Tamandua tetradactyla: one gene and its partners. The protein of the gene in region 1 interacts with the protein of each later gene in a pairwise test. Links are inferred from orthologs where the notes say so. Each region holds a gene or a part of one and is shown on either strand. Other genes may lie near its edges. The genes, in order: HOMEZ, LRRC7 and SH3RF2.

What was found.
Region 2: the proteins of HOMEZ (region 1) and LRRC7 interact in a two-hybrid assay, tested with the Homo sapiens proteins (2 studies listed by BioGRID). The two-hybrid records come from large-scale screens. The link is inferred for Tamandua tetradactyla from reciprocal best matches to the Homo sapiens genes HOMEZ and LRRC7.
Region 3: the proteins of HOMEZ (region 1) and SH3RF2 interact in a two-hybrid assay, tested with the Homo sapiens proteins (2 studies listed by BioGRID). The two-hybrid records come from large-scale screens. The link is inferred for Tamandua tetradactyla from reciprocal best matches to the Homo sapiens genes HOMEZ and SH3RF2.

The regions. Positions count from the first base shown.
Region 1 is NC_135340.1:31,586,548-31,590,296, reverse strand, and holds the start of HOMEZ (homeobox and leucine zipper protein Homez), read right to left. Parts: upstream 2,617-3,749; 5' UTR 2,542-2,616; coding exon 2,484-2,541; intron 1-2,483. UniProt on the Homo sapiens protein: May function as a transcriptional regulator.
Region 2 is NC_135337.1:56,445,226-56,448,974, reverse strand, and holds the start of LRRC7 (leucine-rich repeat-containing protein 7), read left to right. Parts: upstream 1-995; 5' UTR 996-1,036; coding exon 1,037-1,038; intron 1,039-3,749.
Region 3 is NC_135346.1:26,408,689-26,412,437, reverse strand, and holds the start of SH3RF2 (E3 ubiquitin-protein ligase SH3RF2), read right to left. Parts: upstream 2,956-3,749; 5' UTR 2,797-2,955; intron 1,738-2,796; exon of another isoform or gene 1,699-1,737; 5' UTR 1,593-1,698; coding exon 1,215-1,592; intron 1-1,214. UniProt on the Homo sapiens protein: Has E3 ubiquitin-protein ligase activity. Acts as an anti-apoptotic regulator of the JNK pathway by ubiquitinating and promoting the degradation of SH3RF1, a scaffold protein that is required for pro-apoptotic JNK activation.

The DNA of each region.
Region 1 (3,749 bases):
AGAGCACTATCTCACACACTACAAAGTTCTAGACCAGACGTTTGTATATTTAGGATCTTTGTCTTCTAATTAAAATTTAGGAATAATATCTTTCAGAAGTGTCCCTTCTTTTCTCATGTGGGGCTTTGAAAATGTCTTTTACCTGTTTAGATGATTTAATAGTTTATATATCTACAATGGTTTATAAAACTGCCTCAAACTTTGCCCTGTGTTCTGCATACCTCAAAACTCTTCCCTCCCCCCGCCCCCCCCCCCCCCCCGACCCACCAGGGAAACATTCCTCATTGGTCCGCTCAGGTCTAGAGCGCTTTCAGAGTTGCCAGACAAATACATCTCTGCTTCAGAGTTGAGCTCCGTTTTCCATTGTTGGCCCTGAATTTTCCCGTCTCTCTCCTCTCCTTAGTTACATTTAGTAACAATATTCACTTCTACCAGCCAGTCCCATGTTCTTCAAACTAATATCCAACAAAAACAATAGAAAACACATACTAAGCTTCAGAGTTAGAAACTTTTGGTCCCTCAGGGAAGGAGCCGAGGTTGGTGGTATAATATACAGACGGTCTTCCAAATCGTGACTATTTCAATACCCCAGTGCTTTGTAACTAACAGGAAGGAAGAGGGAAACGTTTTAGACAGCAGCAGCCTGCAGTTTCCAGTGGGGAGATCATTCCTTTAAATCCAAACAATTAAATGAAACTGTATTGACTGGGAGGAACTCGTGCACATTTGACTGGAAAGCCACGCAACTGGCTGTGGGAACTAAGCACCTGACCCTGACGGGTTCAGTGACTCACTCTGGACATCACTGATCATGGGCTTGGAATTGTGAAAGATGAACAATTCAGCTCCCTTTCTTGTGTCAGAAAGATTACACTTGCCAGAGTTGGGAGTGGAGGGAGAGTCAAAGACAAATTTAGGGAAGAGGAGAATATCTGGAATGCAGGGTGAAGTCTCTTTTATGTAGGTTTCACCCTGAAGCTTTAGAAGATGGCATGGATGGGATGGGGGAGTACAGGGAGGAAAAGGTTCCGTTTGATACTTCAGAGATGGGAGGATCCCACAGTTAGCCAGACAGTAACCCTCCCAGTTTTTCCAGGGATTAGTGTTGAACAAAGGAGATTCATCAGTTCATCTTCATTGTAGAAAGGTCAATCCCCCATTTTAGGTGAAAACATTCTTCCCTTTGCTTGATTCAGATAAGCAGGGGCTAACCAGAGGCATATCTATCCTGTGACTAAGGAAGTTGAAATTTCAGGGCCCACACGTGCACAGGCTGGAAGAGCCCCAGAAATGTGTTCACATGATCATAGGTTTTTGTAAAATCTCAAAATTATATATTTTAACTGCAATTGGCTAAGATTGATGACTCTTTCCTTTCTGATTTCGCCTTCATCCCACTTCCCTTTTTGTCAGGTGGCAATGGAAAGGCCACAAGCATTTGAGAATTGGCTAAGGAAACTGAGTTGGGGATACACCTAGTTTGGATTTAGTAACTATATTTATGTGGTTTGCAGTTCTGTGAATAAATTCTTATGTAGATAGTTTCCAGGAATACTCCTAATGTCATTAATTCAAAGGGCGTATAACATTAGTTAGTCATTGCAAAGGAAAATTTCAAATGCTCTAAAATATTAGATCACATATATAAAAGAAATTTGACAGGTTTTCCCAAAGTTGACTAAAGTCCTAATTATTTGTGACACTACCACTAGGTATGAAAGTGAAACTTTTCTAAACTACCAATAATAATTTTAAAATGTGATCAACCATGGGGCGGTGTGATGGTGGCTCAGTGGCAGAATTCTCACTCTGCCACGCCAGAGACCCAGGTTCGAATCACAGTGCCTGCCCATGCCAAAAAAAAAAAAAAAAGTGATCAACTACAAAAAGATTCAATTAACTCTAGACTTTCCAAACAAAACAACCATCATATGAAATAGCTATCAAAGCACACACAAAAAAGTAGAAAAAATGATATTCTGTAGGTTTACCAAGCAGATAGTTTTTAAAATCTTACTTTTGTGATATTGTGGTATTTGTTAGCTTTCATAATTTGTTGCTATATTTTTTCATTTTGAAACGTTCACTTCTATGCCTAATTGTGTATTAGTAATATGGATTCATTTTTCCTTAAAAGGACCCCCAAAATTATATGCTCCAAGCACCCAAAAATCTGTATCTATCCCTAGGGCACCAAATATATATGGTCAGCTTCTGCCCCACATTTAGGGGACCTCTGGCTCCAATGTTCTATGTCCTGTCTCCTAAGAAAATCCAGAGCCAGAGGGAACTGAGGGCTGACTGATCAGAACTACAAGTATTGAGGATTTGAGCTAACAAACCCAACTTTGAAGAGTCTGTAGAAGATATATTTCAGACAAACCTACTGCCAAACTAAGATGTGAGAAGTCTGGAAAAATATTGGGGCCACAGGGAGACCCTAAGCAATGAGCCATGGAAAGAACCATAGCGCTCCCACTTACCTCTCCTTGGGTACCTGCTCCTCATGCTGACCTTACCCTTCAGCATAACTGGCTTCATTTACAACACATATTGAAGGGTGGATACTCTACAGTGACATCACAACTTGGTCATTATGATGCAATGAGGAAGTATCTCATTTTTCTTTGGCTAGGGTTTCCCTAGTAGGAACATTGTCTCACTACTTTGTGGCTAATTGGGCTCTTTCATCATTCAGTGATGTGGGAGTCAACACTATGTTAGAACATGATCTTTTCCAAGGACTCCTCCCTTTATTAGTCAGTCCACTTCTCATACTCCATTCTGAATTGGTCATAGTTCCTTGACTTTTACCTCTCCATCATATTTCTCATTCTTGCTTTAGAGTTGACCTTAATTATACGGAAATGAGTTTTACTCTTCCTTCCAGTGCTTGCAGAACAGAATTCAACTCAGATGGCCCATACCCAAGGGAAAACACTTTTTTTTCCCACCAAGCTGATCCCTTTAACTGCACCAGTTGCTGGTGTGGGTGCCAGAGAACCAAAGCACTAGATTTCTGAGTCTGATAATTTTCCTGCTACTCAAACGGTAGTGTGATCTTACCGAGGTGTCTTATATCAGGACTGCCCAACTCCTCTATCTCTTTGCCACCCAACTTTTCCATCTACAGAGGAACAGAATGGGAACAGGATTTTAAAGAAATGAGATGACAAAGAAGAAATGGAGGAGGGCATCTTGCCATCTTTAGCCCCAAACAAAGAGTCCTTCTTAATATCTTATTACTTTTTCATATTTCAACTTTATTTCAAAAATGAGTTTTTTTTTTATCTGACAGAGCTGAAATGAAGTCCAGCACTAGTGGGTTTGGACATAGTGGACAGGACTGCACTGGGATGGGGGTGGAGAGGCTCTGTTAAGTGGTTTTCAGGGGTTCACATAACAACTTTCATTTTTCCCCCCCAGGTTAGCTTTCCAACGGGTTGATGCACTGCTCTTTAGTAACGTCACCCAAAAGAGTGCCAAGACTGGGAACACAGTGAAAAGTATATGTCCACTTTGTTTCTCCTCAAGTGAATAGGGGAGGGAATGATGTACCAGCAGAAAATGAAACACGTGTTCATTTATGATGTATCCCTTGTCATGAAAAACAGTGTGTCTGACTGTGTAGAGGCCTATTTCCTAGTCTGGGGATGGGATGTGGTCAGGATGTCTGGGTTTAAGCCCCAACTGAAGCTGCCCTGACAAATTCCCTGACCATTCCCATCTTTGGACCTATGTTCTCATCT
Region 2 (3,749 bases), on another chromosome or scaffold:
GCCTGTGACGGAGCAGGGAGAAGGCGAGCATTTCAATTCTCGACCGGACTGGAATTCTCTTCTCACAATTTGGGGGAGCCCGAGTAGAGGTCAGAGGGGCGGGCGAGGATTTCAAAAAAGGGGCTGAGGGTTGTGGACGTGGTCACCCCCTTCTATCCCTGGAAAATCTCCTTGACATTTTTCACACTTTGAAGCAGCTGCAGCTGGTGTCGTCGGAAAAGAGGGTGGAAAAAAAAGAGAGAGAGAGAGAGAGGAGGGGGGTGGGGGGGCGGGGAGAGCGGGAGACACAGCCAAGAGCCTGGAGCAGCGCCTCCTCGCCTGCCAATCCTGGCACCTGTGCGCGGAGCCACTGCACCGAGGAGATCCCCGGTCCCGGCGAACCCCGGGCCTGACGCCACGGACACCCAGCCCTTGGGCGGCGGGTTCTCGCCGGCGGCACCCGAAGCCGCCCACTCAGGCCAACGCCGCCGCCTGCAGCCGCGGGAGCGCACGGCCCCTCCGAGCCGCCGGCTGCGCCCCGGCCCCCGGGGATCCTCGCCCCGCAGAGGCTCGGCAGCCGGCAGGGGTAGGGGGGGCGGCTCGGAGTTGGGTGCACGATTCGGCTTTCCTGCTCGTCTCTTCTCCGCCCAGGATTTATTGTCTGTGGAGCCTTCTGGGGGGTGGGGACGAAGCTGCGCCTCCGCCACCGCCGCTGCCGCTTCTGCGGTCGCTAGCGCGGCGCGCAGGGCTGGCGGAGGCTGGGGAGTGGACGCGCGCCCGCTTCTCCCGCTGGCGCTTCGGGCTTTCCCTCGGCGGCTCATGGCGGGAACCTCTTCAGCCGTCCACCTGAAGGGCACCGGCGTCGTGGTCTAACGTGGCACCGCCTGGGATCCCCTTATTTTCCTCCTCTTCTTCTTCCTCCTCTTCTGCCGTCCTCCTCCTCCTCCTCCGAGGACCCTCGCGCCCACTTCACTGCGGACGCCGGAACACTTTAAGGAATAACCCTTGCAGCTTGCACGGCTCTCGAGAACCACATGGGCTGCTTCTCCCGCCTGCTATGTGAGTAGTACACCCTCGCGCGGTGGCCGAGGGGGCTCTGCGGGGGCCTCGCCGCCTCCGGCCGCAGCGATCGTAGGCGCGCGAGGTGGGGGACCCGAGCGGCCGGCCGGGGGCGGGGTGGGTGGGCAGGGTGGGAGTCTCCCGCGCTCTCTGGGAGCTGCTGGCTCGGTTGTCGGCGGAGGTGGCGGTGATGTGGGAGGTAGGTTGCGGGGCATTCAGAAATAGGGTGCTACTTGTGTGGGTGCATGGGAACGCCGAGTAGCCTGGGCTGGGAGGGGACCCTAAAGGGTTACATACTGCGAAAAAGAAGGAAAAGGGCTAGTGTTGGGCATTGGCGCTGGGACTGTTTGTCGTGCTGAGGTTAGGCTTAGCTCCTCTTTATTATCTCGGGTATCTCCAGTCAGCCTTTTTCCTGGAGGTGTCTCAGAGATGAAGCAATTGTTTGATCATGACACACACACACACACCCGTAAACTCACACACACTTGTGGCAGGTCTCAGTCGCCCTTTTTTTCTAGAAGGTATTGTATTACTGACTTGATATCTGTTTGAAAAATACATTTAGAAGATCCTTATGTCATTGGGGATTCGAGAGAAGGGGTGGGGGTTGGGGGGATAGTGGGGGACGAAGGTGCATGAAAGACTGGAGGACAGACTGAAGTGGGGAGCGATGGAGTGAAAGCTTTCACTGAGAGTCAGCGAGAACGATGCCTCCTGCCCCCTAAGCTTAGACAACTCCTGCCCCCACAGCTCCTTTGTGTTGCACCGCGAAGCCGGTGAACCTGGACTATTCCCAGTTGCAGCGCTGGGCTCCCTTCAGCATTTTGCGTCTTCCTCTGGAGTCATTAAGGATGCAGGACGCAGTTCAGGTCTTACGTGAAAAGAGGGAGGGAAGCACATTAGCATTACGGTAATCATGGCACCCTGGCTCACAGACAATTAGATTGGCCACCGGTGGTCTCTAGTCTTTATGTTTGCAGTCATGAAAGGGGATGGGGAGTGGGGGCTCAACTGATTGCTTTTGAAAAATAGCGTGACTTCATAATAACGGAGATGCTTGCAAAATTGCTTCATTACACTACTTCTCAGCCATCAGGGCTGAATAAAGGACCCGCCTCCGCCCACTCCTCCCTCTCTTTCTCCTCCCCAACAAGTCACAAAGCGACAGGGCTGGGATAGAGGGCCCAAGGCAAGTCGGAGTAGGGTTGGGGTCACTTTCACAACTCCTGGTAATCGTTTTCGAAGGCAACCATCTGCAACTCCCACGCTCCTTTCGTAGCTCACCTTCAAGAGGAATGAGAAAAAAAAGGGGATCAGTAAGACACACAAGTCCTCCACCTGCTCTTTTCGGTTACTTTCCCAATGCATTTTCAACACATCCAATTACCCTGCAGTGCTAACTGGGTCAGCACGTATATGTGTACCTGTATATGCTGAAATGTGGCTCTCCTGATAGATGAAAAAGCAATTTGTATGTGAGCGTATTTAACCTGGGCAAAATTTCTAAGCACAATAGAGATTTTGTAGCGTGGGCGAGGAGAGTGCATTCCAGCGAGAGCAGGACACGTGATCTCTCTAACGAGAGAGATACAGTATTAGGAATTCGATTTTCTTTGTTTCAAGCTGAGCCTATGAGATGCTCGGCATCCAGGTTGCTTTCCTCCTGTAAAAGGAAAAAATAACGAAGTTGGCCGAAGGCGAGAGTCACAGGAAGAGAAGCCCAGGTAGATATATCTGCAAAGGGCTTGTAATCTTCCGTCAGTGCCCTTTCCCCACCTCCCTCCAGCCGCCCCATCCAGAGCCCTATTTAAAATGAGGCATTCCCTTTGGGAGAGGCGGTTAAAAAGTTCTCCAGTCCATGCACACGTGGGTTCTCCAGCTCCTAAGAACCTGCTGCGGTTCGCAATAGATTCTGCCACCTCCCCAGTCCAGGTGTCACGCCTCCATCCAGGGAGGCGTCTTGAAAGCTGACTTCCAGGACTCTAAGTCAGCCACCAGGAGATCTTTTTAAAGAAAGCAGTATAGTGGAGGCATGTCACTGCTTCTTGCAAACCGTTGATGGCACCCGGGAGAGAATGAGAAAGTAGAGATATAGGAATAATTTTATTTTCCTTAAAAATAAGAGTTATAGGACTAAAGTACATTGGGGTTGATGTTCAGTGATGTCTGCGTTTGGACTCCTGGAGCTCTCTCAGGCCTGTGGAATGTCCTGAAGTCTGATGATTTGGCAGTTTAATGGAAGTGGAATTTGTGTCCAAAACTACTGCTTAATTAGCATTACCTGGCTTGTAGATTTGCTTTTTTAATTTCTCTTCCCATCAGGTTTTATAAGCCATCTTAATGGGCTGAAGTTTTAAAATGTAGGCTATTTCTGTCTATGCTGCATTGCATCATACAATATGTCATGCTAGGGAAAGCAGAGTCAATTTCCATGGTATCATATGAGGTGAGAGTTTCTTTATGCATTTTTAGACTTGGCTGTCCAAGAAAAGATGTGTACTTACCATGGCAACCCCTACATTCTCCATCACGTGTGACTGCACATATGCAGCTTCAGAATTAGAAACAACTCCTTAAAGAAAGGAAACCTGGCCAATTAAAGTAGTCACGATTTATTCAGATTTTTTTTTTGCACTGCTTTGGGATGGAATTAAATTTTATTAATTAAATTATCATAACCCTTTCTTTTAAAAGCTTTTAATATTTCTACT
Region 3 (3,749 bases), on another chromosome or scaffold:
GTGAACAAGGGAGGGAGGGTTGAGTTTTTGGAAGGAAAATGAGTTTGTTCTGAATGCCCATCACAGGCCTGTTCTCCAGAGTGGGGAAGGGATCCGTGAAAGCCCAGCCCCTCTCTACACACACGCACACACACACACACACACATACACACTGTCACTTGTAATAGCAGGGAGTCATGGGACTCTACTGTCAGTAGTAAAGCTTTATAGCTTGCTCACCAGCACGACTTCACAGAATGCAGCTTTGATATTCTAAACATGCAATGACCCAGGCCATAGCTTTCCATGTTCACTTTGGCACACTGACTCCAGGGGTGACAGTGCAAATAATTATTTTGGACTCACAAGGACCACATTCTTCTCTCGAGATGTGCTCTTACAAAGCATCCCATAGCAAGGTTCACAGTCAGTTCAGATAAAGTCCACAGGGTGTGCTTGCAGGGTTGGACAGATGGATTTGTATTATTAAAACACCAAAAATATTACCGGACAATCTCCGGTACAGCTCTACCATGTCCATTCATTTTTTATTGTAGCCCCTAGCATGTATTTCATGCGTGGCTTATTCATTTTGTCAAGTAAGATCCATCTGCAGGGCTCTTGTACACATCCATTGTATTTCATGGCCCGGATTTGCTATCAATCAGTACACCCACATACACGCTTCCCTCCTTCACGATTTTTGAGTGTCAAGTATCTTGATAGCTTCAAACAGTTTATGAATGAGCATTGTCATAATGGCACTTTATGATTGGGAGTGGGAAGACAGATTTGGGTAAAATTAAAATAAAACCTGAAATTGGAAATTTCTCAGAGATCTCAAAGGCAACAAGCAGCTGGATTTGTTTTTCTCTCTTTTTCCTACCCTCCATACATTTCCCATGCACGAGTTTGGCCTCAGAACAAGAGAAGGGAAAGACAAAAACATAATCAGGGAGGCCTTCCTTGTCCTGCCGCCTTCAGTACAAGAAACAGGAACCACCTAGGGAGGCTTCAATAAATGCTCACTTCTAAGGAGAATTCTCAGACTGATTAGACAGGCTTAGGATTCTACCTACACTTCAGAAAAGTGATCGCTGATCCCAGAAACTTAGTAGGGAACCAACCGCAAACATTCTTGGAAGTGCAACTCCAAGAAGATCCTTCCCAACTCTGGGTAAACACAAATCCAACCTCCACATGGACACGATACTAACAAATAAGATCTCTCTTACCCCATCCATGTGGATCCTGATATTGGGCACCAGCCGGAAAGTGCCGGACTGCAGTCCTCGGGGGCTGGCCCTGCTTTTCGGGCTGTCCTGCAGGCTCCACACGCCAGGCCTGCGTAAGTGGCCCCCTCTGCCCAAGCTCTGCCCTGAGCGCACACCGTCCAGAAGACGCACGAGCAGCAGGTTGGCTGGCAGCGCCTCGATGCTGCAGAAGACCAGGGTCCTGCATTCTGGGCACCTCAGCTCTTTGCGGGCCTTGAAAATCCTCTGTAGACATGGTTTGCAGAAGGTGTGCTGGCAAGGGAGGACTTTGGCTGTGACATCGAGCTTTTCGAAACACACAGGGCACTCCAAAAGATCAAGTAACGTCACATCATCCATTTTATTTTAACACTCCAGTCCTGACCTGAAGGGGCAGCATCCACATTGTAGGGGCAGCCGAGCTGAGGGGGCAGTGCCGGTCTCTCCAGAGCCTCAGATTTCCTGCCTGTTTGAAGGGGAAAAGAAGGGAGGATAGAACTGTGACTGCTCTGAGATGTATATCCCACCTACATTGAGGCAATGTCTCATAAGGCAGTTTGCAAGTACTTTGTTCCGGCACCCAAGTTTCAAATGACTCATTCTGATTCAGTGCTAGCAGGTACAGGACTCCTGCCTGCTGCAAGGAACAGGAGCCAGCAGCATTCAGCAGAGACTGCGCACAGGCTCTCTGTGTGGAAAGGCAGAGAGCAAAAATGGCCTGCTGAAGTGGCACACCCCCTCTTCTCTGCCAGTCTGGGCTGGGAGGGGGTCCTTTAAAATCTGGGTAAAGCACTCAGACACTCTCAATTCTCAAATCAGAGCCCCTCCAGAATGTAATTTCTGTGAAGAGATCTACTCCTTCTCTCTCCAGGTTAATCTATTATCTGCGCCACATGCAGGTAAGTTTAGTTGATGTGGGTAAGTTTATCTGAATCACATCAGATGTAGAATTATTCCCTTCACAATACATCTTCCCCCATTATTTTTCATCTAACAATGTACAAGAGAAATCTCTACTAGCAACCCATTTTCAAAATTGTTTTGCCTCGACCTGGGAGCTTTCCTCTCTCTCTCTCTCCCTTTCTTTGCCTGCTCACCAAGATTGTCTTAAACAGCCTTAGAGACAAGATTCCTCCCGGCAATGTAAGGTGGCACAGCCTGTTGAGTTACTCTGACAAGTGTTTTCAATTTCAACTGAAGCAGGTAGGGATTCAGGACTGTGCCCGCAACCTGCAAAAACCCAGGATGGAACAGAACATACAGGTGCGGCAGGTATGCCTGCGCGCGCGCGCGTGTGTAAAGAACCCCTGTTTCAGGAACAGTTTCCCTGTGGACGCCTGAGAAGAAGTCTCCAGCTTAGGAAAGTCTCCTCGGAAAGAGTCAGCAGTCCTTCACACGTGCCCAGGTATGGGTGAACGCTGCAGCCAGGAAGGCCCCACCAGTAAGCACGGCGGACGGTACACATGAGAGATGGCGCCTCGCTTTCCTCGGCCACCTCTCCAAGGATGCCAGGCGCGGGCGGGCTGGGGACCAGCGGGCTGGGGACCAGCGCGCTGCCACTAACCTTGCGCGAGTGACCTCGGCGGAGTTCAGCTCGGCTCGCTTGTCCGCTCCGCCGCGCTCCCGGCGACTCGCTTCCTCACCCCCCAGTGCCGCCGCGGCCGCCTGGAAAACTTGAACAACTCGGAGTCTTACTCAACTCGAGGGATCGCCTTACGCAGCACTATTACCGCGCTCACCGCCCGGCTGCCGCGCCGGCAGGACTCTCCTCCCCCCACCCCCGCCCCGCCCCCCCAGGAGGGCTTCGCTTTCTGCTACGGAACCTTCCTTTACGGAACTGGGTGGATTTCTGGGAAGCGGTTATGAGATAGTACGTAAGCCAGCCCCCCAGGCCAAGTATTTCCAAAGTTTTATGTTTTTACCTTTGCGCCTTATCTTTCCAAGGCGAGTTAAAACGTGTTCAGTTATGCCAACGTGATTGTGCGGTTTTAAAAAAAACACAAAAAACTTTACAAGGATTTCTCTGAAATGGGCAGAAATATTAATGGTACCTCTGATAAACTCTTTCAATATACTCCGTCTCTTCAAAGAATAATAATTTTAAAAATGTCCCAGTAGTACATACATATCCTTGAAAAATAAAGTGTACAGAAGAGTTTTTTTTTACGGAAAAGCAATGCGCTCCAGCTCTCTGCTGTTCCCCCCACTGTAGTCTTTTTATGTCCCTAAATAATACTTATATTTCTTGGCTCATCGCTAATACATTTCATGGAAAGTTACAAAGATATCCAAGTAGAATAAATAGATAATAATAATAATAATAATACCACCTAACATTAGGCTATCCTTTTCCTGGGCCCGGAACCGTTCTAAGTGCTTTACCTTTATTACCCCATTTAATCCTCCAAAAATTCCTATGATACACTATACCCTTCTTTACTTTCACTTTGAAGTTAGATAACTTATGTCAGGAGTCACAGCCAGTAAAAGACTGGTATTCTGTGCTCTTTACTAAGT